Linked DNA regions of Ovis aries. Each later gene encodes a partner of the first gene's protein in a complex. Links are inferred from orthologs where the notes say so. Each region holds a gene or a part of one and is shown on either strand. Other genes may lie near its edges. The genes, in order: ACTL7A and TES.

Evidence for each region.
Region 2: the proteins of ACTL7A (region 1) and TES are in contact, whole or in part, in a crystal structure (PDB 2XQN), measured with the Homo sapiens proteins. The link is inferred for Ovis aries from reciprocal best matches to the Homo sapiens genes ACTL7A and TES. Residues at the interface, in NP_006678.1 of Homo sapiens: Leu28, Gln29, Thr30, Ala31, Ser32, Leu33, Arg34, Asp35, Gly36, Pro37, Ala38, Lys39, Arg40, Ala41, Val42, Trp43, Val44, Arg45, His46; in NP_056456.1 of Homo sapiens: Asn311, Glu312, Tyr313, Thr314, Gln315, Ala316, Glu317, Leu323, Phe326, Leu335, Ala336, Gly337, Glu338, Ile339, Tyr340, Val341, Tyr353, Pro370, Glu371, Val372, Gln373, Arg374, Val375, Thr376, Tyr377, Ala384, Phe389, Leu398, Ile399, Gly400.

The regions. Positions count from the first base shown.
Region 1 is NC_056055.1:14,401,892-14,412,893, forward strand, and holds ACTL7A (actin-like protein 7A), read right to left. Parts: upstream 7,089-11,002; 5' UTR 7,034-7,088; coding exon 5,717-7,033; 3' UTR 5,598-5,716; downstream 1-5,597. Other genes in the region: ACTL7B (actin-like protein 7B), read left to right, coding at 9,461-10,714. UniProt on the Homo sapiens protein: Essential for normal spermatogenesis and male fertility. Required for normal sperm head morphology, acroplaxome formation, acrosome attachment, and acrosome granule stability.
Region 2 is NC_056057.1:53,709,420-53,721,423, forward strand, and holds the start of TES (testin), read right to left. Parts: upstream 6,894-12,004; 5' UTR 6,714-6,893; coding exon 6,687-6,713; intron 1-6,686. UniProt on the Homo sapiens protein: Scaffold protein that may play a role in cell adhesion, cell spreading and in the reorganization of the actin cytoskeleton. Plays a role in the regulation of cell proliferation. May act as a tumor suppressor. Inhibits tumor cell growth.

The DNA.
Region 1 (11,002 bases):
ATTATTTTGTTGGTGCCACTGAATCAGCTTTGGTCAGATGCTCTGCACATCAAAAGGAATTGTGCAGAGGATTGTCTCCTGTAATCAAAGTGCATTTTAATTTAGACTCTTAAAAAAAGCTGGGGCAGGAGCTTATGTTCTTATCAGTAGAGCTTGGTATAATTTCTTAGTGCTGCATATTTTAAAATAAATTTATTTTCCATATATACCTACATATACACACACGTACATTTATGTGTGTATATACACACATGTGCATACATCTGAGGGATTCTCTCTAATTGAAAAGGATGTTTTTAGAAGTAAATAAAACTGACAGTTCTTAGTAATTGCAGGTGACTATAAGTTTGGAAGGGCTTCCCTGATAACTCAGTTGGTAAAGAATCCATCTGCAATGCAGGAGACTGGTGCGATTCCTGGGTCTGGAAGATCTGCTGGAGAAGGGATAGGCTACCCACTCCAGTATTCTTGGGCTTCCCTTGTGCCTCAGCTGGTAAAGAATCCGCCTGCAATGTGAGAGTCCTGGGTTTGATCCCTGGGTTGGGAAGATTCCCTGGAGAAGGGAAAGTCTGCCCACTCCAGTGTTCTGGCCTGGGACTGTATGTCCACGGGGGTCTCAGAGTTGGACACAACTGAGCGACTTTCATACACGCAAGTTTGGAAAGCAAAATTAGCTTTCTTCCTCCTCCTGTGGCTGCCTGTAATCTTCTGTGCTTCACTAGAAGCACTACTTGGACAAGTCCTTGGGAGCCTTTGGTTGCCCTTCCTTGTCGGTCACATAGTAACTGGGGGAGGATGACCATTTTAGGAACTAGGTCACCCTAAATGTCTGAGATTTGTACACGAGCCACAGTTAAGGCGATGATGCTTGCAGCCCTGAAGGCCTGCTCTCAATTCCTGCGCTCTCTGTGCTCCCTCAGCCCTTACCTGTGCTTCATGCCTGCTCTTCCTCCAGTACTCTTACTGGCTTTGAAGTCCCAGGAACTTCAAGACCAACAGATGTCCTGATATTTGGAAAGAACAAAGTCATGGTCACTCATCTTAGTGTCTTTGGACACAGTCATTTAACTCACTGAGTCTTTTCTGCGGCCTGTGTGTCCACTGGGCTAACCAGGGTTTCTCAGCATTGTTGATTTGTTGTTCAGTCACCAAGTCATGTCCAACTCTTTGTGACCCCATGGACTGCGGCATGCCAGGTTTCCCTGTCCTTCACTATCTCCCAGAGTTTGCTCAAACTCATGTCCATTTAGTTGATGCCATCCAGCCCTCTTACCCTCTGTGGCCCACTTCTCATCCTGCCCTCAATCTTTCCCAGCATCAGGGTCTTTACCAGTGAGTTAGCTCTTTGCGTCAGGTGGCCAAGTATTGGAGCTTCAGCTCCAGCATCAGTCTTTCCAGTGGGTATTCAGGGTTGATTTCCTTTAGGATTGACTGACTTGATTGTGCTGTCTGTCCAAGGGACTCTCAAGAGCACTGTTGATATTTTGGATTATATCATGCTGTGTTGTAGGGGGCTACCCTGTACATTACAGAATATTGAGCAATAGCCCCGGCCTCTAAGATCATGGCATCTGGTCCCATCCATTCATGGCAAAAAGATGGGGAAACAGTGGCTGACTTTATTTTTCTGGGTTCCAAAATCACTGCAGATGGTGATTGCAGCCATGAAATTAAAAGACGCTTACTCCTTGGAAGGAAAGTTATGACCAACCTAGACAGCATATTAAAAAGCTGAGACATTACTTTGCCAACAAAGGTCCGTCTAGTCAAGGCTATAGTTTTTCCAGTGGTTATGTATGGATGTGAGAGTTGGACTATAAAGAAAGCTGAGCACAGAAGAATCAGTGCTTTTGAACTGTGGTGTTGGAGAAGACTTGAGAGTCCCATGGACTGCAAGGAGATCCAACCAGGCCATCCTAAAGGAAATCAGTCCTGGGTGTTCATTGGAAGGACTGATGCTGAAGCTGAAACTCCAATACTTTGGCCACCTGATGCGAAGAGCTGACTCATTTGAAAGGACCCTGATTCTGGGAAAGATTGAGGGCAGGAGGAGAAGGGGACGACAGAGGATGAGATGGTTGGATGGCATCACCAACTCAATGGACATGGGTTTGGGTGAACTCCAGGAGTTGGTGATGGACAGAGAGGCCTGGTGTGATGCAGTTCATGGAGTGGCAAAGATTCAGACACAACTGAGCAACTGAACTGAACTACCCATCAGGTGTCAGTATGACATACCCCCTCCTCCTCTTACGATAACCACAAATATCTCTCAGCTCAGTTCAGTTGCTCAGTTGTGTCCGACTCTGCGACCTCATGAATCACAGCACGCCAGGCCTCCCTGTCCATCACCAACTCTCGGAGTTCACTCAAACTCATGTCCATTGAGTCAGTGATGCCATCCAGCTATCACATCCTCTGTCATCCCCTTCTGCCCCCAATCCCTCCCAGCATCAGGGTCTTTTCCAGTGAGTCAGCTCTTTGCATCAGGTGGCCAGAGTATTGGAGTTTCAGCTTTAGCATCAGTCCTTCCAATGAACACCCAGGATTGATCTCCTTTAGGATGGCCTGGTTGGATCTCCTTGCAGTCCAAGGGACTTTCAAGAGTCTTCTCCAACACCACAGTTCAAAAGCATTGATTCTTCGGCGCTCAGCTTTCTTTATAGTCCAACTCTCACATCCATACATGACCACTGGAAAAACTATAGCCTTGACTAGACGGACCTTTGTTGGCAAAGTAATGTCTCTGCTTTTCAATATACTATCTAGGTTGGTCATAACTTTCCTTCCAAGGAGTGTCTTTTAATTTCATGGCTGCAATCACCATCTGCAGTGATTTTGGAGCCCAAAAAATTAAAGTCTGACACTGTTTCCACTATTTCCTCATCTATTTGCCATGAAGTGATGGGACCGGATGCCATGATCTTCATTTTCTGAATGTTGAGCTTTAAGCCAACTTTTTCACTCTCCTCTTTCACTTTCATCAAGAGGCTTTTGAGTTCCTCTTCACTTTCTGCCATAAGGGTGGTGTCATCTGCATATCTGAGGTTATTGATATTTCTCCCAGCAATCTTTGATTCCAGCTTGTGCTTCTTCCAGCTCAACCTTTCTCATGATGTGCTCTGCATAGAAGTTAAATAAGCAGGGTGACAATATACAGCCTTGACGTACTCCTTTTCCTATTTGGAACCAGTCTGTTGTTCCATGTCCAGTTCTACCTGTTGCTTCCTGACCTGCATATAGGTTTCCCAAGAGGCAGGTCAGGTGGTCCGGTATTCCCATCTCTTTCAGAATTTTCCACAGTTTATTGTGATCCACACAGTCAAAGGCTTTGGCATAGTCAATAAAGCAGAAATAGATGTTTTTTCTGGAACTCTCTTGCTTTTTTGACATTACCAAATGTCTCTCGGTAGTCAAAACTGTTCCAGTTGGGAGCCAATGGGCTAAGATGGCTTCAAATATTTACTAAAAACTTTTCATCTTTTTTTCTGTATGAGGAAGATGCTTTTTTTCTGCAAGGGCTACTAATATGGAACCAGTGAGAGAATTCATAAAAGTGCTTTGAAAAGAGATTATACAGTTGTTCAGCCTTATATTGGCATTTTTCATTTTAAAATGGCAGTATGGCATTTATTCCTAGGATGGCCTAGGAGTTCCCATTCTCTAGAATCATCTCCCATTGCCTCCACTTCATCAAGACCCTCTTCACCTTTTGGGGGTTCTTGATTGGGGGGTTCATAGACCCTTAGGAATCTGGAGATAGTGTATTTCTATAATCCTATGTATTTTATTTGATGTGTTTAAAGAATATTATTCTGAGGGGTCCATAGGCTTTAACCACTCTGTCAAAGAGGTTCAAAGGTTAAGAATTAACCAGACTTCAACCTTCCCATCAATGAATGTTCTTCGAGTGTTGACAGTAGTGGTTTGGGCAGAAACAGGTAAACAAGGCAGACCTCTCTCAAGTCAGTGTACCCAACTCCTATCTGATGCCCTGATCCTCCAGGGTAAGGCTTATCCTTGCTGACTAAGCCCTTCTGTGGCTATTTTTGCTTCTTTCCTCTAGCTTGCTGGTGCCAGCCATCTGTGCTTACTCACCAGGCCTCCAGCGTGAGGCATTTGTGTCTTTCAAGGCTGTCTGTAAGGCAAACCTGGAGGTTATAAGGATGGCTCTGTAGGGTTTCTCCCTGAGCCTGGTAGAGATGCCATAGCTCTCCTATGCGTGCTTGAATGTGTGCGCCTTTGGGTGTATGTGTGGCTCAGGATCCTAGTAAGGCATTTGGGCTTCTGTATTTAAGCGGAAGAAACCTACATATCTAACAACTCTTAGGATCACCTCCTGGAGGCCACACACTAGTTTTCAAATGTTTATCTCTGATAGTTTCTTCAAAGCTAAACTTTATTTTTGTTGTTTTATATCTCATATGTATAATCAGCTGTGTGAGGTAGGCGTTTGAATTCAATTTTACAGGTGAATAGACTCAGGTCACAGGCTTCCTGGTAGCTCAGTGGTAAAAAATCTATCTGCCAATGCTGGAGTCATGGGTTTGATCCCTGGGTCAGGAAGATCTGGAGAAGGACATAGCAACTCACTTCCCTGGCAAATCCCATGGACAGAGGAGTCCGGTGAGCTACTTACAAACTGCCTGCAGGAATACCCCCTACCATGCTGGGCCCTGGAAGGGCTTCCAGGCCATGAGCGTCTTTATGTTCCTTCGGTTCCTCAGTTGGGTTAGAGTGACCAGAATGGAACAACCTCCCACAAACCCACAGCATCCACTGCAAACCGGCAGCCTTTATCCTGAGCCCATTCCAAACTCTGTATACCCTGCAGGTTGATGGAGAATCCAGTCCTGTCGGAGATGAGCAGCTGCTGTTTGAAGTGTCTGGAGATTGCCTGTGGGTTGCATCCTCATGACCTTAGTGCTGATAAACCAAGATAAATCTTCCCCCAGTTTTTAAAGGGGGAAATCTGTATAGCACCTATTCCCTGAAGAGTTTTTCCCTTAAGATAACACATACTTTGCTCATAACGCATGGGTTTCAGCAGCTAGTCACCGTGATGGCTTGGTAAGAACTGATATTGAGACATCATAAGTGACTACTGGGACTAAAAGAAAGTGCAATCAAAGCAGGTTGTCAGATATCTTCATCAGCTCTTCTGAGCCTTCAGAGATGCTGATCAAGTGTGAAAGGTGCCCTGCTCCTTTGTGGGAGATTGAACCATTACCGTGTACTTCCTGTTGCTGTTTATTGAAAGGGATATTCTTACATGCCATGACAGCATTTACTCTTAAATCTATCGCACTCCCAGAGTTTAGCAATACTATAGTACCTTATGTGGGGGATATACAAAATAAGGGACAGATGAGTAATTGTAGAGATAGTTTCTCCCCCAAATACTTCAGCAATCAACATAATGCATGTCTTTCTGGTCCATAATCATTCCCCCTTCCTTCCCTCCCCCCACCCCTACCCCCACTGCCCCTCTCCTTCGTCCAGCCCCCACCATTGTTTGGGCAAATGCATATTCTAAGGCAGATGCTTCATGCATGAAGTTCTCAGTGCATAAGGAAAGAGAAACACACTGTGGAAGGAAACATGAGGATTGTTTACTACTACAGAAGTGAACGGGCTGACTCTGTTCCCTGTGTGTGAGATGGGTGCTCACCCAGCAAAGCCGATGCATGTCACAGCGACCATACTGCCTTGGAGTTCAGAAGCACCTTCTGTAGAGGAAGAAAGGTCCATGTTCCTCGTACTCAGAGCGGTGGACCCACAGCGGTTGGAAGCCCTGAAGCGACGCCAGGATGGAGCCCCCAGTCCACACTGCCGTGTCTCTCTCAGGCAGCACGCTTACCTGGGGGGTGTCATTGGGACACATGCCGCTCAGTTCCTTCTGCAGACGGTTAGGGAACCCTCTGAGCATAGTGCTCCCCCCGCAGAGCAGGATGTTCCCCATGAGGTCTCGTTTGAGGGCGATGTCACACTTGTTGAGGCAGGACACCGTCTGGGTGTGGAGGCCTAGCTGCATGGACTTAATCAGAGAAGGCTTAAAGAACATCTCCGAGCAGAGGAACCTTTCCTGGCACAGGCAGATTGCCTGCCCATCTGGCAGGGTGTACTGGATCATATGCTGAGTAGCTGGGACTTTCTTCTCTTCAATGGGGTCCAGGGCCACAAAGCAGCATTTCTTCTTGATGTCCTCCACGATGTCCAGCTGGCCCTCGGTGAAGTGTTTCCCTGCAGTGTTCATCAGGCCCATCAAGTAGGTTGTCAGGTCAGAGCCCGCATAGTCCAGCCGTCCGGTGATGCTGGGCAGAGGGTAGCCCTCGTAGATGGGGACTACGTAGGACACGCCGTGGCCGACCTCCACCACCAGGCCGGAGGTCCTGCCGTAGGAGTACATGGACAGGCGGGACTGGTAGGCGATGTGCATCGCGGGTGTTCTGAAGGTCTCAAACAGCATCTCGGCATACTTCTCCCTGTTGGTGTGTGGGCTCAGGGGTGGATCTGAAACCAAGACCGCGTGCTCCTCTGGGGCAATCTTCATTTCTTGATGGAAGAGATATTCCCAGATATCCTGCACTGTATCCCAGTCCACAATAATGCCGTGTCGCAGAGGGTTAACCAGCTTGAGACGAACCTCTGGGTTGATAAGCTCGTGCCCCACGAATGTCTCCTTGCGATTGTCGCCAGTTTTGGCAGTCTCCATGTAGGGTTTGCCCACTGTGGTTGAGATCCTGTGGGTGGGCTTTGGCAGCCCGGCAAAGCCACATTTACAGTAGCCTGTGCCAAGGTCCACGACCACGGCTTTGGTCAGCTCTAGCTTGGGCTTCTTGACCTCAGGTGATGTTGTAGTTTCTGGCTCTGAATGGTTCCGGCGCACCCACACTGCCCGCTTGGCTGGGCCATCCTTCAAGGAGGCGGTCTGGAGGACCTGTGTGTGTGGGGAGCCCTGCTCACCTACTCTCTCGGACGGCCCATCCCCTATGACTGCTGCCTGTGGTGCCCACATGCTCTCAAGAGCCATCTTGCTCTCAGAAAGTTCCTCAATCCCACCGGCCTCAAGGCCTGAAAGACTGAAATAAGAGGGCAACTTGAGAATTTCTCCAGTGGTGACATCACTGATTATGACATAATCGAGTGTCCCAGGGCTTTCTAGTTACTGGGAACCTTTGTCTTGTGTTAGGGTATATTTGAGATAGAGTTTTTGAAGTGATTTCCTTTTTTCTAAATTTTGTAATAAACCTGGCTTATCCAATCAGTATTCTTGCCTCGCTATGTGCAAGGCAGGCAGCAGTGAGGGGAACAAAAGGACAAAAATCTCTGCCCTCAGAGAACTTATATTCTAGTCAGTGGGGGTTGGGGGAGAGACAGACAATAACCAAAATAAATATATGGGGGGGTGGTTAGTCACTCAGTCATGTCCAACTCTTTGGACCCTGTGGATTGTAGCCCTTCAGGCTCCTCTGCCCATGGAATTCTACAGGCAAGAATACTGGAGTTGGTTGCATTTCCTCTAAAGATGTTCAGAGATTGAACCTGGATCTCTTGCATTGCAGGCAGATTCTCTCTTCACAGGCCATTGCTAGGACTTTGGCTCTAACTCTGCATGAGGTCAGAAAGCACTAGAGAATTTTGAGCAAAGACATGATACCATCTGACTTAGGACCAGTTGCTGCTATGGCAACTCTGCCAAGCACTTACAAAAGGTAATATATTCACAGATTCCAGGGATTCAGATGAGGACATCTTGCGGGGGGGTGGGCAGGTCATTATTCATCCTGTGCCACTTGACCTGTAAGACACTCAAAGCCTGGCATGCTCGGTTTTACAAGCTCCTCCCCCATTGCCCATGCTTGCCGTCCTTAGCCCTTCGTGTCATCAGTTAAATCCAAGCCCTTACCTCTAGCATTTGAGGTCCCCCCAACCCCTGATGGCTCAGCGGGTAAAGAAGCTACCTGTAATACAGGAGCCTCCAGAGATGTGGGTTCGATCCCTGGACCAGGAAGATCCCCTGGAGTAGCAAACAGCGATTCACTCCAGTATCCTTGCCTGAAAAATCCCTTGGACAAAGGAGCCTGGCGAGCTACAGTCCAGAGGGTTGCAGAAAGTGGAACATGACCGAGCACACGCACCTAGTTGCCTCCACGACCTTATCCTCATCTATTTTTCCAAACACTAACTATTGGAAACTGCACCATGCTTCCCTCAGAGCCTCTGCTCAGGCTACGCTCCCTGCCTGGGATGCCTGTCCCTCCTCTAAGCTACCGAACAGGCACCCACTTACCTTTCAGTACTCGATGTGGGCACCCCCTCTCTGCAGAACCTTCTGACTCCCTCCCTCTGTGCTCCTGTGTCCTCCTAACAGACGTCCACCTGCAAACTCCTCTGCATCCATTCATCTTCCCGACTAGATTGGGCACTGCTTGTGGCCGGGTTGCTATCATTAGAGCTCTCAAATGCTTTAAGGAGACCTGGTACACTGAAGTTGGAGGAACTTGGGTTATAGCACGCTCCAAGAGCTGTTTGCTCTAGGGCAAGTCATTTGCATTCTGAACCTTGATTTCCTCAGCTCTGCCTATCTCCCAGGATTCTGTGAAGTGTCATGTGAGATGCCTGCTACAGTGCTTGGCTCACCGGGCTGTGTGTGTGCTGTGCTAAGTCGCTTCAGTCACGTTCAACTCTTTGCAACCCTATGGACCGTAGCCTGCCAGGCTCCTCTGTCCATGGGATTCTCCAGGCAAGAATACCGGAGTGGGTTGCCATGCCCTCCTCCAGGGTATCTTCCTGACCCAGGGGTTGAACCTGTGTCGCATACATCTGCATTGGCACTACATCCAGTAGTGGGTTCTTTACCACTAGCATCACCCGGGGGAGCCTTTGGCTCACTGCTGCTGCTAAGTCACTTCAGTCGTGTCCGACTCTGTGCGACCTCTCAGCAGCCCACCAGGTTCCCCCATCCCTGGGATTCTCCAGGCAAGAACACTGGAGTGGGTTGCCATTTCCTTCTCCAGTGCATGAAAGTGAAAAGTGAAAGTGAAGTCGTTCAGTCGTGTTCGACTCTTAGCGACCCCATGGACTGCAGCCTACCTTATCACCCTTTCATCAAGCTGAGAAGCAAGAGGTGATCAGCTAGTGGATGGGGGATTAGGAATAAGGATATAAGGTGAGAAAGAGCAGAAACCTCTGAGATGCAAGTGTGCTTGGATTTCTAAAACTGTGCTGGCCACCTGTTCTGTCCTGAAGCAAAGTTGAGTTAGGCCAATGGGGTTGGGGGGGAGGATAGATCAAGGGCCTGCCCAGACCAAGCCCCCCCGCTACAACTGCCAGAATGGACCAGCCCATGTGACATCACAATTCCAAGGGGTTGCCAAGTCACTGCTAGAAACAGACCCTCATTTCTCCCCAGGGAGCTCTAGGATGTGGATGTGAGACAGGTGAGCAAGGAAGGCAGATGGCGACAAGGAACAGCCCTAGCCCCAAGCCGATGGGCACGGCCCAGGGGGACCCAGGAGAGGCAGGCACACTGCCAGGTCCTGATGCTGGCATCCTGGACAAAAGTTCGGCCACTCCGCTGAAGATGAAGCCCAAGAAGGTGCGCAAGATCAAGGCGCTTATCATTGACCTGGGCTCCCAGTACTGTAAGTGTGGCTACGCAGGTGAACCGAGGCCCACCTACTTCATCTCTTCCACGGTGGGCAAGCGCTACTCAGAGGCGGCCGATTCCGGTGACACCCGCAAGGATACCTACGTGGGCCATGAGCTGCTCAACATGGAGGCGCCTCTGAAGCTGATCAACCCGCTCAAATATGGCATCGTGGTGGACTGGGACTGCATCCAGAGCATCTGGGAGTACATCTTCCACACGGCCATGAAGATCCTCCCCGAGGAGCACGCTGTGCTGGTCTCTGACACCCCGCTCAGCCCCACGAGCAACCGGGAGAAGTATGCAGAGCTGCTGTTCGAGACCTTCGGCATCCCTGCCATGCACGTGACATCCCAGTCACTGCTGTCCATCTACTCCTATGGCAAGACCTCTGGGCTGGTGGTGGAGAGTGGGCATGGTGTCTCACATGTGGTGCCCATCTCTGAGGGCGACGTGCTGCCCGGCCTGAGCAGTCGAGCTGATTACGCGGGCAGCGACCTCACCAACTACCTGCTGCAGCTGCTCAACGAGGCCGGCCACAAGTTCACTGACGACCACCTGCACATCATCGAGCACATCAAGAAGAAGTGCTGCTACTCGGCCCTCAAGCCCGAGGAGGAGCTCGGCCTGTGCCTGGAGGATCTGCGCGTGGACTACGAGCTCCCAGATGGCAAGCTCATCACCATCGGCCAGGAGCGCTTCCAGTGCGCCGAGATGCTCTTCAAGCCCACCCTGGTAGGCAGCAACCAGCCCGGCCTCCCCGCACTCACCGCTGCCTGCCTGAACCGCTGCCAGGAGGCGGGCTTCAAGGAGGAGATGGCTGCCAACGTGCTGCTGTGCGGCGGCTGCACCATGCTGGATGGCTTCCCCGAGCGCTTCCAGAGGGAGCTGAGCCTCCTCTGCCCCGGAGACAGCCCTGCAGTGGCCGCGGCTCCCGAGAGGAAGACCTCCGTGTGGACCGGCGGCTCCATCCTGGCCTCCCTGCAGGCCTTCCAGCAGCTCTGGGTCAGCAAGGAAGAGTTTGAGGAGCGGGGCAGTGCGGCCATCTACAGCAAGTGCTGAGCAGCAGGGTCCCCACCAGCCAGGTCTGGGGGCAGGCAGCCACAGGCCACTCTATACACATTTTCAGAATTTCACATAAAATTTTACAGTGCAGTGGCTCCTGTCTGGTCTGGATTTCTTGCTCTAGGCTGATAGCAGAAGGTGGGGAGGGGGATTTGGGCTTTCAGTCTGTATCTGTTGGGTTGGGAGAAGCAGGCACGAGGGGAGGCTCACCGGCCCCTCCCCTTCTGCCCTGTTCCTGAGGATGACATCATCATAGAGCCCAGAATGTGGCTTCTTGTTCCATTA
Region 2 (12,004 bases), on another chromosome or scaffold:
CAGGAAAAAGACAGTTTGTGTATCTATAGGTGTAACACTGTAAATGTTTTAGCTTTATCTGATTATGAGCTTCTTCACATTCTAATACATATAAGCTGCTTTCTCATTTCTTTTTCATTTGATATTACTTAAGACAAATAATCACTCCTAATTATAAAGCTTGCAAAGCCAGGAACAAATACCAAGAATCACCACTAAATTAGGACATTCTGTGTTACAAATCTAGTGTAGTCTTGTCCTGTAAAGAGTTCACTAAGGGATATAATCCCATTTGTACTTACTTTCTATCATTTATTTTGTCATTTTTTTTCTCTATCATTTCTCTCAATAGTGTAAGTTCTATAATACAAGGTATCTTGTCTTTTTGTTCATACTATACCCCCAGGGTTTAGAAAAATGTTTTGCACATAAACTACTCACATAGTTTTTAAATGAATCATCTTATTTTGGGAGAGATAACTTTTAAAGACAATAAAAGCTCCATTATTTTTCATTTTCCTGTAATTAAGTACCATAGAGAGTGATATACATCATAACTAGGCTTATTTGCCTCATGCTAAGAAAGCAATTTATATGCCTTTGAAGCTGTAAACTAAAGAGTTAAATGAATTAAACTTAATGTTTTCAAATACGCCACAAACATGTAAAAGGCAAACTAAGTAAAAACAAGTTGAAAAAGCAGCTAAGATCTATTAAAAATTTTTTCATTTTCTCATGGACTCCATACGAATATATAACATTTATATACAGGCCATTTCATTGAAAATCATAAATATTTATATATTCTTGGCCTGTATGATTTTTAAGCACTGTGTAATATTATTATATTTGGTAAACTACTGATAATATTTTCCAAAGTCAAAAAGAGTAATTGGGTTTGAAGAAATCTTAGAAATCACTTGGCTCCCCTATTGATTTTTATGGATATGGAAACTGAGATCCAGAGTGGCAAAGATCACAAAGACTACAGTGGACCCAGATCTGCTAATTCTCAGCCCAGAGTGAATTTAAAACATCATACTGATAAACAGACGTGAGAAAGCTAATATACCATAAAAGATCTTTCTGTATACTACTGCGCTTTACCTATACTGGGTACTTACTAATCTTTTCAATTTCTGAATACATGGTAGTGATTTGGCGTGTAAAAAACATATTCAAATTAGCATGGGGCAAACTATATCCCTACTTCTGGCTTTCAGAAAAAGAATATAGGAAGTAGTACTCTTTTACCAATTTATTGTTCTTTCTACTGAACAGACCCTTTAGACTAGACTAACTCTATGGTCCATGATGTTAATTCCAGGCTCACAAGACTGGTACCCTACTGGAGTTCAGTGAGTGCCTCGTTAAATAGTTCATTTTGGTGTTTCCTACTGCTTCTCAATAGGTCTTCTTGTATGAACAATTCTGCTAACACTGAACTTTTTGTTTTTAACTGCTCTATTCTGATCTGCCATTCCAGCAGCACTTAGAGTATTTTGTTGCTAGGAGAAAAAGAGGTTTAGCCTACCATGTTACGTGTAAGGCTTACTATCAACTCTGGGGTTCAGCAGGTAGAACAGATTCTTCTACAGGCCAACCATGAGTACCTGTATACAATTCCAGATGTCACTAGTTGAAAGACAAAGAGCCAAAAGCAGGGTTGCTATTGTTCAGAACCATATTAGGTAGCTAGAAGGCAGCATTATCACTGCTCCCAACAAAACCTAGAAGATACAGTTCAGAATATTATTGGAGCTTATGGAATTTCTTTGACTGTAAAATCTCCTAGAAGTTACTTTTCATGATATTTGTACTTATTTAGACTTTGTTTCCATGCAAAAAATGTCAAAGGCAACTTACCCTAAAGGCATACGGATCATGGGTAAAGTATAAACTATAGAAAACCAGTAGAGTAGTAATTTTATTGGAATAGAAACCATTTCCCCAATATAATTCCTTTAAACAAATAAAAATGTTGAAATGCATGTTAGGTTTTTTCTATTAGGGAACTTCATTCAACATATATGCAGTGATCAGAGCAAGGGTATCAGAGGACTCAGGCTAGGTGATGTGATGGAAGTCACATGGATTATGAAGACTATGGTGCAAGATCATAGTTACTTTCTGCCAGTTTCAGATCAACCTATCTAAGCCTTAATTTTCTTATCCTTAAAATGAAGCTAGTCTGCTTCATAAATTGCTTTGAACAGAAAACAAAATAACTATACAAGTATAAATAGGATATGAATTTCCCTCAAGAAGCTTGCAATCCAAGTAAGAGAAAGACTATAATGTAGAGGGAGAAAGTAAAAAGTTTGCTAAGAGTTATAATAACATGCTTTGGGAATATAGAAGAAAGAGATTTTCCATCTAGCTGGTAACAAGAAGAATGATTACCTGGAGGGTGATGTGTGTGTTGGGGGGAAAGGGGGGGCAAGTAGGGTGAGGAGTGTGTCTTGGATTAGTAATATTTAGTATTATTGAAGGTGAGCTAGCAAAGTCAAGGAGAGAGGTGATGGTACACAGCTTGATAGCCAGTAGAGACATAAACCCCTAATTCAACTTCATAGGATAGGATTAAGGAACAAATCAACAGAAAATCTACTACCGTTCTATTCAAACCAATATTCAAAGCAAGTTAGAAAAAGCGACTTTTCATGTCTAATTAATGTAATGACTCACACTATGGCTTAAAAGAGATAAAAGCCCTGCTGAGGAACACTTTATTCTGTACTTGTTCTGAGAGAGTAACTGCCTCTAAGGTAAAGCCCTGGAAGCCCTCTCATTACCCTAAGTCTTGCCAATGATTCTCAGCAAGAACGGCTTCAAGCAGAGAATTCAACTGTAGAGCTGAACCTCCAGGTCACCGTTTACTTGCCTTTTCCACTTCAGTCAGGGGCCACCCTAAGAGAAAAGGTTCATTCTAATTTCTAACGGAGACAGTCTTCGTGGTGCAGTTATCTTGCCAACTGCAATCACACGGTGTCACTCTGATTTTTCAGCAAATGACAGAAGCTTTCAGAACATGTTTGGATGCTGAGAAAGGAGATGTTTTAGTGACTGTGTAATCTTTAAAATCTCATCTTTTTAAAATGAAAGAAACAAAGAAAAGGATCTTACAGAAAAAATACGCAAGACATCAGGAAGGATCAAAAGATGGAGGTTAGAAAGGAGGCAAACAATGAATAAGGTGTAAAATTAAAAGTTCTATAGCAATTCCAGGCAGCATAAGGGAAATTACTATAGTTCTCTTTCTCTCTGGTATGTTTTTAAAGGGAAAAAAGTGTTTCTCAGGGGAGAGTAACACAGAAAGGAAAGAGGAAAATAGCTGGCTGTGGGCCATGATTTAGCATTCATCACAAAATGAGACTCTGTTTCTGTTTCTCAAAGGTCATTGTGTTTTCCAAGCAGACACAGGCTCTACTTACATGAAGTTAATTATAATGAAGAAACACAAGACATAAGGAAGAGATCTAGACAAGAAACTCCAAAGAAAGAGCGAAGATGTAAAACTCAAATTCTACTCTAAAATATTAAAACAAAACTCTGTATAACCAAACTAGCTCTTACTTCCTAGCAACAGCTCACTTATCTCAAACAAAATACAATATAGTAAAATCTAGTTATAAAAATTCCTTGCCTTTCTGATGGTGTATTTTAACTGGTAATTAATCCAAATTTATGCCCATGATAGACACCCAAGTTCTCCTCTTAAAAACAAAAAATCTTATAATAACATTATCCACCTAGGTGGATGTGAAATAAAGATAACCCTCTAATTCTTTTTACATGAAATGTTAATGGGAAAGTAACATTTGTCATCTGCCTAGAGAATATTTCTTATGAAAACAACAGTAAAAAGGTTTTAAAAGGAAAAAAAATGCCATGCATCTTAAAACAGAAGTTAAATTTAGTTTTAGTTAAATGGCTGTGTCTTTATTTCAACTTTCAGCTATGATTTTTAAAAGGTATAGTAAAACTATCAGTTTTCTTGTATATCCAAGTGAAAAAGAAGGGAGACCTGAAAAGTATCTAGATACCAAAATAGGGTAAGAAGGCTCATAAGATCAAAGATGATCTTGTAATGTTTCCTTCTTCTCATGTGTTAGAAAACAATTTCTAAAGGGAATGCAAGTTTCTTTTTGAAATTATGAAATGTATTTCTGGGACCTCTAAATTCTTTGTACTGGGAAACACTCTGTCAAATGCACAGAACATTAATCTGTCAAGGATCCTACCTAGACACAGAGAAGGTATGTTGGCAATCAGACTGGACATCTTTGGGATCTTTTACTTTCCAATTTACTAGTTGAGGACTTTGCCCTGAGAATCACCAGTGATGACAAGGTAGTGAAACAAGGATTTGTTACTGTCATGGTATTGTCTGTACAAGTTTTAAATTTATGGAATCCTTTTTCTTGGGGCGGCGGGAGGGGAGGAGGAAGATGAGAGAGAAGGATAAGATTCTCGGTTGAAAAGATAACCTTTTAAAGTAAAGGGAAGATGCAGGAGAAAAATTACACCATATATCAAGACCATTATTTATGATAATCCACATTCTGAAACTAAGGAAACTGTATAAATAATGTCTGGATTTTTCCCTTGCTAGCACATATAATTCTTAACTCTGGACTTTCTCCCTCAGAACTACTTCTTGTCTCAAATAATTTCAAAATCACTTTTGAATGCTACTTGTTTTTTTTTTCCCCTCCTTTTAAATAGAGGGGATTTTTGTTTTGTTTTGTTTTTCCGGAGCAGTCAGGTTCACAGCAAAATTTAGCAGAAGATACAGCATTCCCATATATCTCCTATCCCTTTTCAGACCAACCCCCACCCCCATTATCAATATCCCACATCAAAGTGGTACATTTGCTATAACTGATGAACTTTCACTGGCACATCATCATCCCCCAAAGTCCACAGTTTATTTTAGGGTCCACTCTTGGTGTTTATTCTGTGGGTTTTGACAAATATATAATGACAGGTATTCACAATTACAGTAGCTTACAGAATGGTTTCACCCATTCATCCCTCTCTCCCAAAGGATCTGGGCATTTAAAACGTCTTTTCTGAAGCACTATGTTTAAGCATAGACAAGATCCCCCCAAAAAATTTTTAGACAAGTACTAAATTACCCACTGTTTCCCACATGAAAAACAAAATAAGCAGCGTTCATCAACAGATGGCTAATTAAGGGGCAAACAAAATGCTTTCCTAGTAGCAAGCAAGATTAACAAAAAATGTGCTGCTGCTGCTGCTGCTAAGTCGCTTCAGTCGTGTCCGACTCTGTGCGACCCCAGAGATGGCAGCCTACCAGGCTCTTCTGTCCCTGGGATTCTCCAGGCAAGAACACCGGAATGGTTGCCATTTCCTTCTCCAATGCATGAGAGCGAAAAGTGAAAGTGAAGTGTCATCTAAAAGCAAAGAAAAGAATAAGAAACCAAACTAGAAGACAATAGAATTCAATCACTGTACTCTCAGAATACGTTTTCCTGTTCATGAATTCCCTTTTGGAAGCTGAGTCTAGTCACAAAGGGCAAACATGTTTTTTTTTTTTCCCCACTGCAGGCTTTTTATTTTTCAACAGCCTCCTAACCTAACCTAATATTTTGCACTTGCATATATTTTCAAAAATCCAACTCTGGGCATGAAACAGAACTAATGCTTAGGTTAGAAACCTTGTCTTTAGAAGATAAAGTAATGGCAATGTTGATAACCCACAATGAGCAAGAGAAGAAAATTAGGTTCTCTACTTTCCCCTCCTTTACTCTCAGCAGAACTTCCTTCTTTATTTGATAAGGAGCAACATTTCCTTCTCCAAGGAGCAAGTAGCTTAATCAATTCCCTGGAATGAGACGACCTTTCACACAGAACGTTACACTGGAATGTGACATCAGCATTCCCTCTGAGTCACAGTCTAGTCCCACCCTTTTCTCCCAGGAAACGCGAGTCTCCTAATATCACGGAGCGGCTCAGGTAGGGCCGTGGGTCCTGACGCCCGGAGGGCAGCCAGTCAGGAAACGTCTCCTGGAGCTAAACCACCGCTGACAATCGTCCTTTGGGACTAGTTGCCAAAGAAGGAGAACATTTTCTTTGGAAGACGAAGGCAGTGCTTTGGAAGTCAAGTAATGAATGACCAGAGACCAAAAAAAAAAAAAAAAAAAAGTTCACCTTTCACGCCATCACCAGCCGCTGCTGCGAAGGAAGCACATTAAATCAACGCTCACTCTAGACAGCCTCTTGACTGCCAAGCTGGGAAGGGAGGAGGTCTGAGCTGTCAAAAGTCTCATCAGTCACCCCAAACCACAAAGGCTTAATAAAGTTCAGCTTCCTGAGACAGGAAGAAGTAGTGTCACGGTTTCGCCCGAACTCGCCCTAAGCTCATCCTTTTCTTCTTGGGAGGCACAAGCCCTGCCAAAACATCTTAAGGAAAAGTTTCAAACACCTCCAACCGTTGGACTTGGTTAGACAGGGAGAAATGTCCCGCGCCCGCCCTCGCGCGCGACTCTCAGTCGCTCCTGGGTTTCAGGAGTTAGTAGGGCCAGCGGACACCCCCTCTACCCGAAGGACCGGGTACTGGGGCCCCGGGCGCCGGCGATCCCGACACCGCTCGTGCCTGACGGCCCTTGCGCCCCACCAGCCACTGGCAGCCAGGGGGCGGCGCCCCGCGCAGGTGAAGCGGCTGCTGCCAGCCACCCTACCTTCTTTACTTTGGCCTCCAGGTCCATGTCTATGTGTCAGAGGGGGTTTCTCCTCCTGTCGGGGATATCACGCCCAGGATCGCCGGGCGTCTGGCACCGTTGCCGGTACTGGAGGAGATGTACCGGGACACCGGCGCCACCGCCGCAGCCACTTGCCCGGCACGGTCAAACTTCCGCTGCCCAGTCGGCTGCAGCCGGCCTGCGGCGGGGACCGGGAACAAAGAGGCCCAAGCAGCCAATGGCAGCCGGGCCCCTCCAGGCAGCCGCCAATCACTGAGCGCCGCACGCACCTTCGCTGCCGAGCGCGGCGCCAGCAAGGTGAGGGGCGGGGCCGCGTTCGGGGCGGTACCCTGCGGAGCTCAATCCTGTAGCCCGGAGTTGATCTCTGAGGCTCCGCTGGGCGTCCTGACTACCTGCTCCCAAAGAATTGGAGCCCAAGCTGCCTCCAGCTGAAATGAGGAAGAGCCTTTTCCATTCAGTCAGCTTGAACCTGTTTTCCTTGGGACTTTAAATATGAATTCAGAGCGAAGAAAAAGAGAAGTTGTGGGGATTGTTAGGGATCTTCGTGATGGAAATGCACTCTATAATTTCACTGTTGAGTTGTGGAAAAGGCACTTGGCTAAATACTTTTCTCCAATATCCCAAGCACTGGCTGGAAACCTTATCTCAGACAGCCAATGAAGAGGGTTATATGGGTTTTCTGAGCATTTGATAGTTCAAAAATGAGGATAGTGTGAACCAGTAAAGGGATAACTTACACCATTCCTTTGGAAGGAGAGGCTTGTCCTTTGCCCCTGTTGTGTGAAATGATGTGAGGCTGCTCATGTGCCTCATGCTTAGATGAAGCAGTATCATAGGCATAACAAGCAGCGCTGCAGCTCTAGATTTGGATCCATATTATGGCCTCGTTCAGGAGCAATGGCAATGAATACTATTGCCTTGGTGGACCTGAAAGGAAATCTAGGGATTATTGAGTATAACTTTCTCATTTTGCAGGGAACTGAGGACCCCAGAAGTATAGGGACCTGCCCAATTTATTAGTCTCTTGGGGACAGAGCTAAAGCTCATGAGTCTTTAAGCAGTGTCTTCAGCTTGTTCCAGATGGAAAAAAACAACCTTTTGACTTTTTTTCCTCTGTTCATGGTAATGATAGAAAATTATAATGATTAGATAGCAAGTGACCACCTAATCTGCATCTACTTTTAAAAGGGAAAAAGTCCCAAATCATATAGCTATTTAGGTCCACATTTCTCTCCCCTTTGGTGGTGGTGGTGGTGGTGGTGGTGGTTTAGTCTCTCTGTCATGCCTGATTCTTGCAACCCCATGGACTGTATGTAGCCTGCCAGGCTCCTCTGTCCATGGGATTCTCCAGGCAAGAATACTGGAGGGGGTTGCCATTTCTTTCTCCAGAGGATCTTCTTGACCCAGGAATCGAACCCAGGTTTTCTGCACTGCAGGCAGATTCTTTACCAACTGAGCTACAAGGGAAGCCCTCTCTCCCCTTTACCTTTTGAAATATGATAACTTAAAAAACCCAAAATCATTTTAGCTAACGTTTTCAACCCTTAGGATCTTCCCCTGGACAGACCCCTGGTGTCCCCTGCCTTTTGTTTGCAGAAGAACATTAACTTCCTACGCTTTTCCCAAGTTCCCAAAAGCAAATTTAATCAGTTAAATGAGAAATTGCAAAAACAAAGGAAAACAGTCAAATGAAACTAAATAATAATAGTTTGGCTGTAAAGTAAAGCCAAGGGCCTTTAGCTTCTTCCTTCAGTGCTATAGATAGTATCCTGAGCCATATCCTTGTACTGGTTTTATAGAAACCAGGCCCCACTCCAACCAGATGAACCACCAACATGTAGGCCCCAGACTGGTTGGAATTAAGAAGGTTGATGATTGGGATTCCTGAAATTGTGTGCTGTTACTTCATCACCGACAAGTCAGAGAATTGTGCACAAGCTGGTCAGGCACCCTACAACCCATACCCCAAATGCTGCCTTTAAAAATCCTCCCGTAAAAACCACTGGGGAGTTTTAGTGTTTTGAGCTTTAGTTGCTTGTCCTCCTTGCTTGATGCCTTCACAATAAACACTACAGTTTGCTTCACCACAACCTGGTGTCAGTAGCTTAGCTTTGTCTCATATTGGATGAGCAGACCCAAATTCAGTTCAGTAACAAACAGAGCACTGATTTATGATGTGATGTTTTTCTTATTCTATTAATAAACTAAAAATGAAATGACCAAGATGGTCATGAATTTTTCTTCTCACTCAGTTTAATTAAAACTTTTCCAAGCCATTTTCCCAAACCATGCTACAATGTTTGGGCTCCTGCAAAGTTTACCCAATGTAAACTCCAATGAACATGAGGTTTAGTTATGACAAGGCAATTTGGTCTCTTTCAGGGAGCTTAACAGATGGAAAATGTCCAGTGAAACAGTTTAAATAAGGAATCAAATGATGTTGTAACATAAATTTTGGGCTTATTTTGTGAAATTTGAGAGACAAACACTAGAGAAAATATCTGGAAACATTTTTTAGCATTGTATTTTGCCCTTCTCTCTCTCTTTCCTCCCAAACCTTCTAGCATCACTTTGTGTATCATTTGCTAATTGAAATTTTTATCTACCTGGAAACATTACTGTGCCAATTATATACAAATTAACATTGAGGTAGATAAGTTTTAGTTTAGGAGGATTAGACTCCAATTTCTTATTAGCTGTTCAAGTGTTATGCTAAAGAGATACTAAGGAATTAGAACTGGCATTGTTCGATGACAAGATGTAATTGATGACAGAAAAATGAGTAGAAGATAATACACATGTTGCTGGCTTGCTCATTTTTGTAGGTGGTTCTGGAAAAAGGAAAATATAGGTTGTGTTTAGTTGTGTTTTCCTGGGAGTGGGATGAGGACAAAGGGTACAGTCATTAGATTTGAGGCTGGGATACTGAAGTATCCACATATTAATCTTAGAGATGAGAACTGGAGTGGAATGGTGATTTAAGTGTCAATATCTTACATAGATAAATAATTGAAAGCCATGGATGGAAAAGATCAGCATGGAATATAACAAAATAAGAGAGAATATCAATGACCTCAATTGAGCACAGTTGAGCAAGAAAAGCACAGAACGGAAATAAAGGTTAGTTAGTAAAAAAAAAAAAAAAAATTAGAGTTCCCAACAACCTCTTAAGAGAAGAAATTCAAGAAGGAATTCATCAACAATGTCCAGCTATAGAAAAGGGTCAAATTCTCATTGAATTTAACAGAAAGTAAACTTGGGGAGTAAAAGCTGTATCCCATGTCAAATAGGCTATGGGACAAACTGAGGCAGCAACATAGAGAGTTAAAGGAATAACCAATGATTTTAAGGCAGTAGAAAATGTTGGAATTGAGTGATTGACTCGAAGGGAGGAGGGATGAGCATTCCTAAGAGTCACTCTTAGGAATCTAATTTGGTGATTTGTACGGTGGCTGTAAATCTCTCCTTTCCCACCTTAAGATGAGTTTCACTTGCATGTAATGATTTTGCAAGGCTGATTGGATCTGAGTTTGGCAGTCAAAAGAGACATCTGGGATGGAGATGCAGATGACTGGTTATAAATACACAGGCACAAACATCTACATATACACATGTACATATAAACACACACACACTCAACATACCAAAACATTAGGAAAAGAAAACACCAATAGGAAAGTTTTCTACACCAGGTAAGGTAAATTTCCAAGATAAAGATGACTGTACCTGTCTCCTCAATTATTAATGTAGCCCCAGGTGGCCTCTTTAGCAAATGTTCATAATTTATTAACACCAGTTAGAGGAACTCCTATGCTACTGACTTAGCTATTATTGCTCATTAGCAGATTGTATGGATTACACATTGTTCTATGGGGAGACAAACATTTTTTCAGAGCAAATTATTACCTGTAAAAAATTTTTTTAGTTGACCAAACACTGGTGTTTGGCTAGGGAAATAATGAATGATTCACATGAAAAGTTTATATTAATTTTTTCTAACAGTAAACAATCATAATGTTATAGGAACAAAATAGAAAATAGAATGGTATATAGATTATGCTCACAACTGTGCAAAAATATCATGCACAGAGAAGAAACATGAGGAAAATTCATAAAATGTTAGCAGTGGTTTGTCTCTGATTGATAGGTCCATGGGGATTCCTTCTTTCCTTTAAAAAATATTCCATGATCATGGCATATTTCTTAATGGAAAAACCTTATCTAAAAATATATTATTCAAAGCATTTTAGGAAGGTGGGGCAGTGGCAGTATAATTTTTCAATCTGCCTGAAAAATCTACATTAAAACAAAAAACTGATCAACTGGTTAGCAAAACCAAAAGCCATGGACAGCCTTCATAATAAAACTGGCAAGGTATCTCCATAAATCCAAAAACATGACAGATAAGGACAAGCCAACAAGAGCCACAAGACATGCATGTATAAAAAATTCTGTCGGGGAGGGAGAGAAGCAATAAGTTGGTGTCTGATGGACACCAGGAAAATTCAAGATGTTCTCCTCCAGATATCCATTTTAAAACACTGCAGGCCAAATTTCAAACAGCAGTGGAAACAGTGAAATGTGACTGAAGGGGCTGAATTAATCTCACCCTGTGATATCTCATGACTCACCCACTAGGACTTCTTTCTAGGAGAGGGTCCCACAATAAGAAACTTTGTCAAGGGAAATCAGAATAAGTAGGTTGGGGCAGAAGAGACAGTGGAAAGTGAAAGGCTAGAGGAGCTCTCTCCAATGTAGTAGCCAGTAACCACATGTAGTTATTTAAAATTTAATTAATTAGGTTAACTAAAATCCATTAAAACTTAAAATTTGACTTCTCAGTCATACTAGCCATATTTCAAGTGCTCAACAGCCAGAAAAGGAAATGGAGTCAGGAAATCTCCAAAATCTTGTTGTATTTGTTAGCGCTTCATAAAAACAAGGGAGCTCTCTGAAGTTGGACACAATTTTCTAAACTCTGCATCACTGTATAAGTTTAGGAAAATTATTGTCACATAATAATGGGTAACAGTAATTTATTAAGGTCAAATCCAGTACACACATGAGAAAAGAGAGCAAACAGAGCAGAATAACTTCCCTACAGTACATCAGAAAGATGTGTCCACAAAACAGAGCAAAAGTGTATTATTTGAAAACAAATTAAAGACATCAAAAAGTTAATGCATGTCATAAAAGGATCACACAAATTAGAATTAGAAAAACTCATAACTGAGGTAATAGAATTCAGGAAAGAATTAGAAATGAAGAAAATAATATTACATAGATGAAGGCTAAAC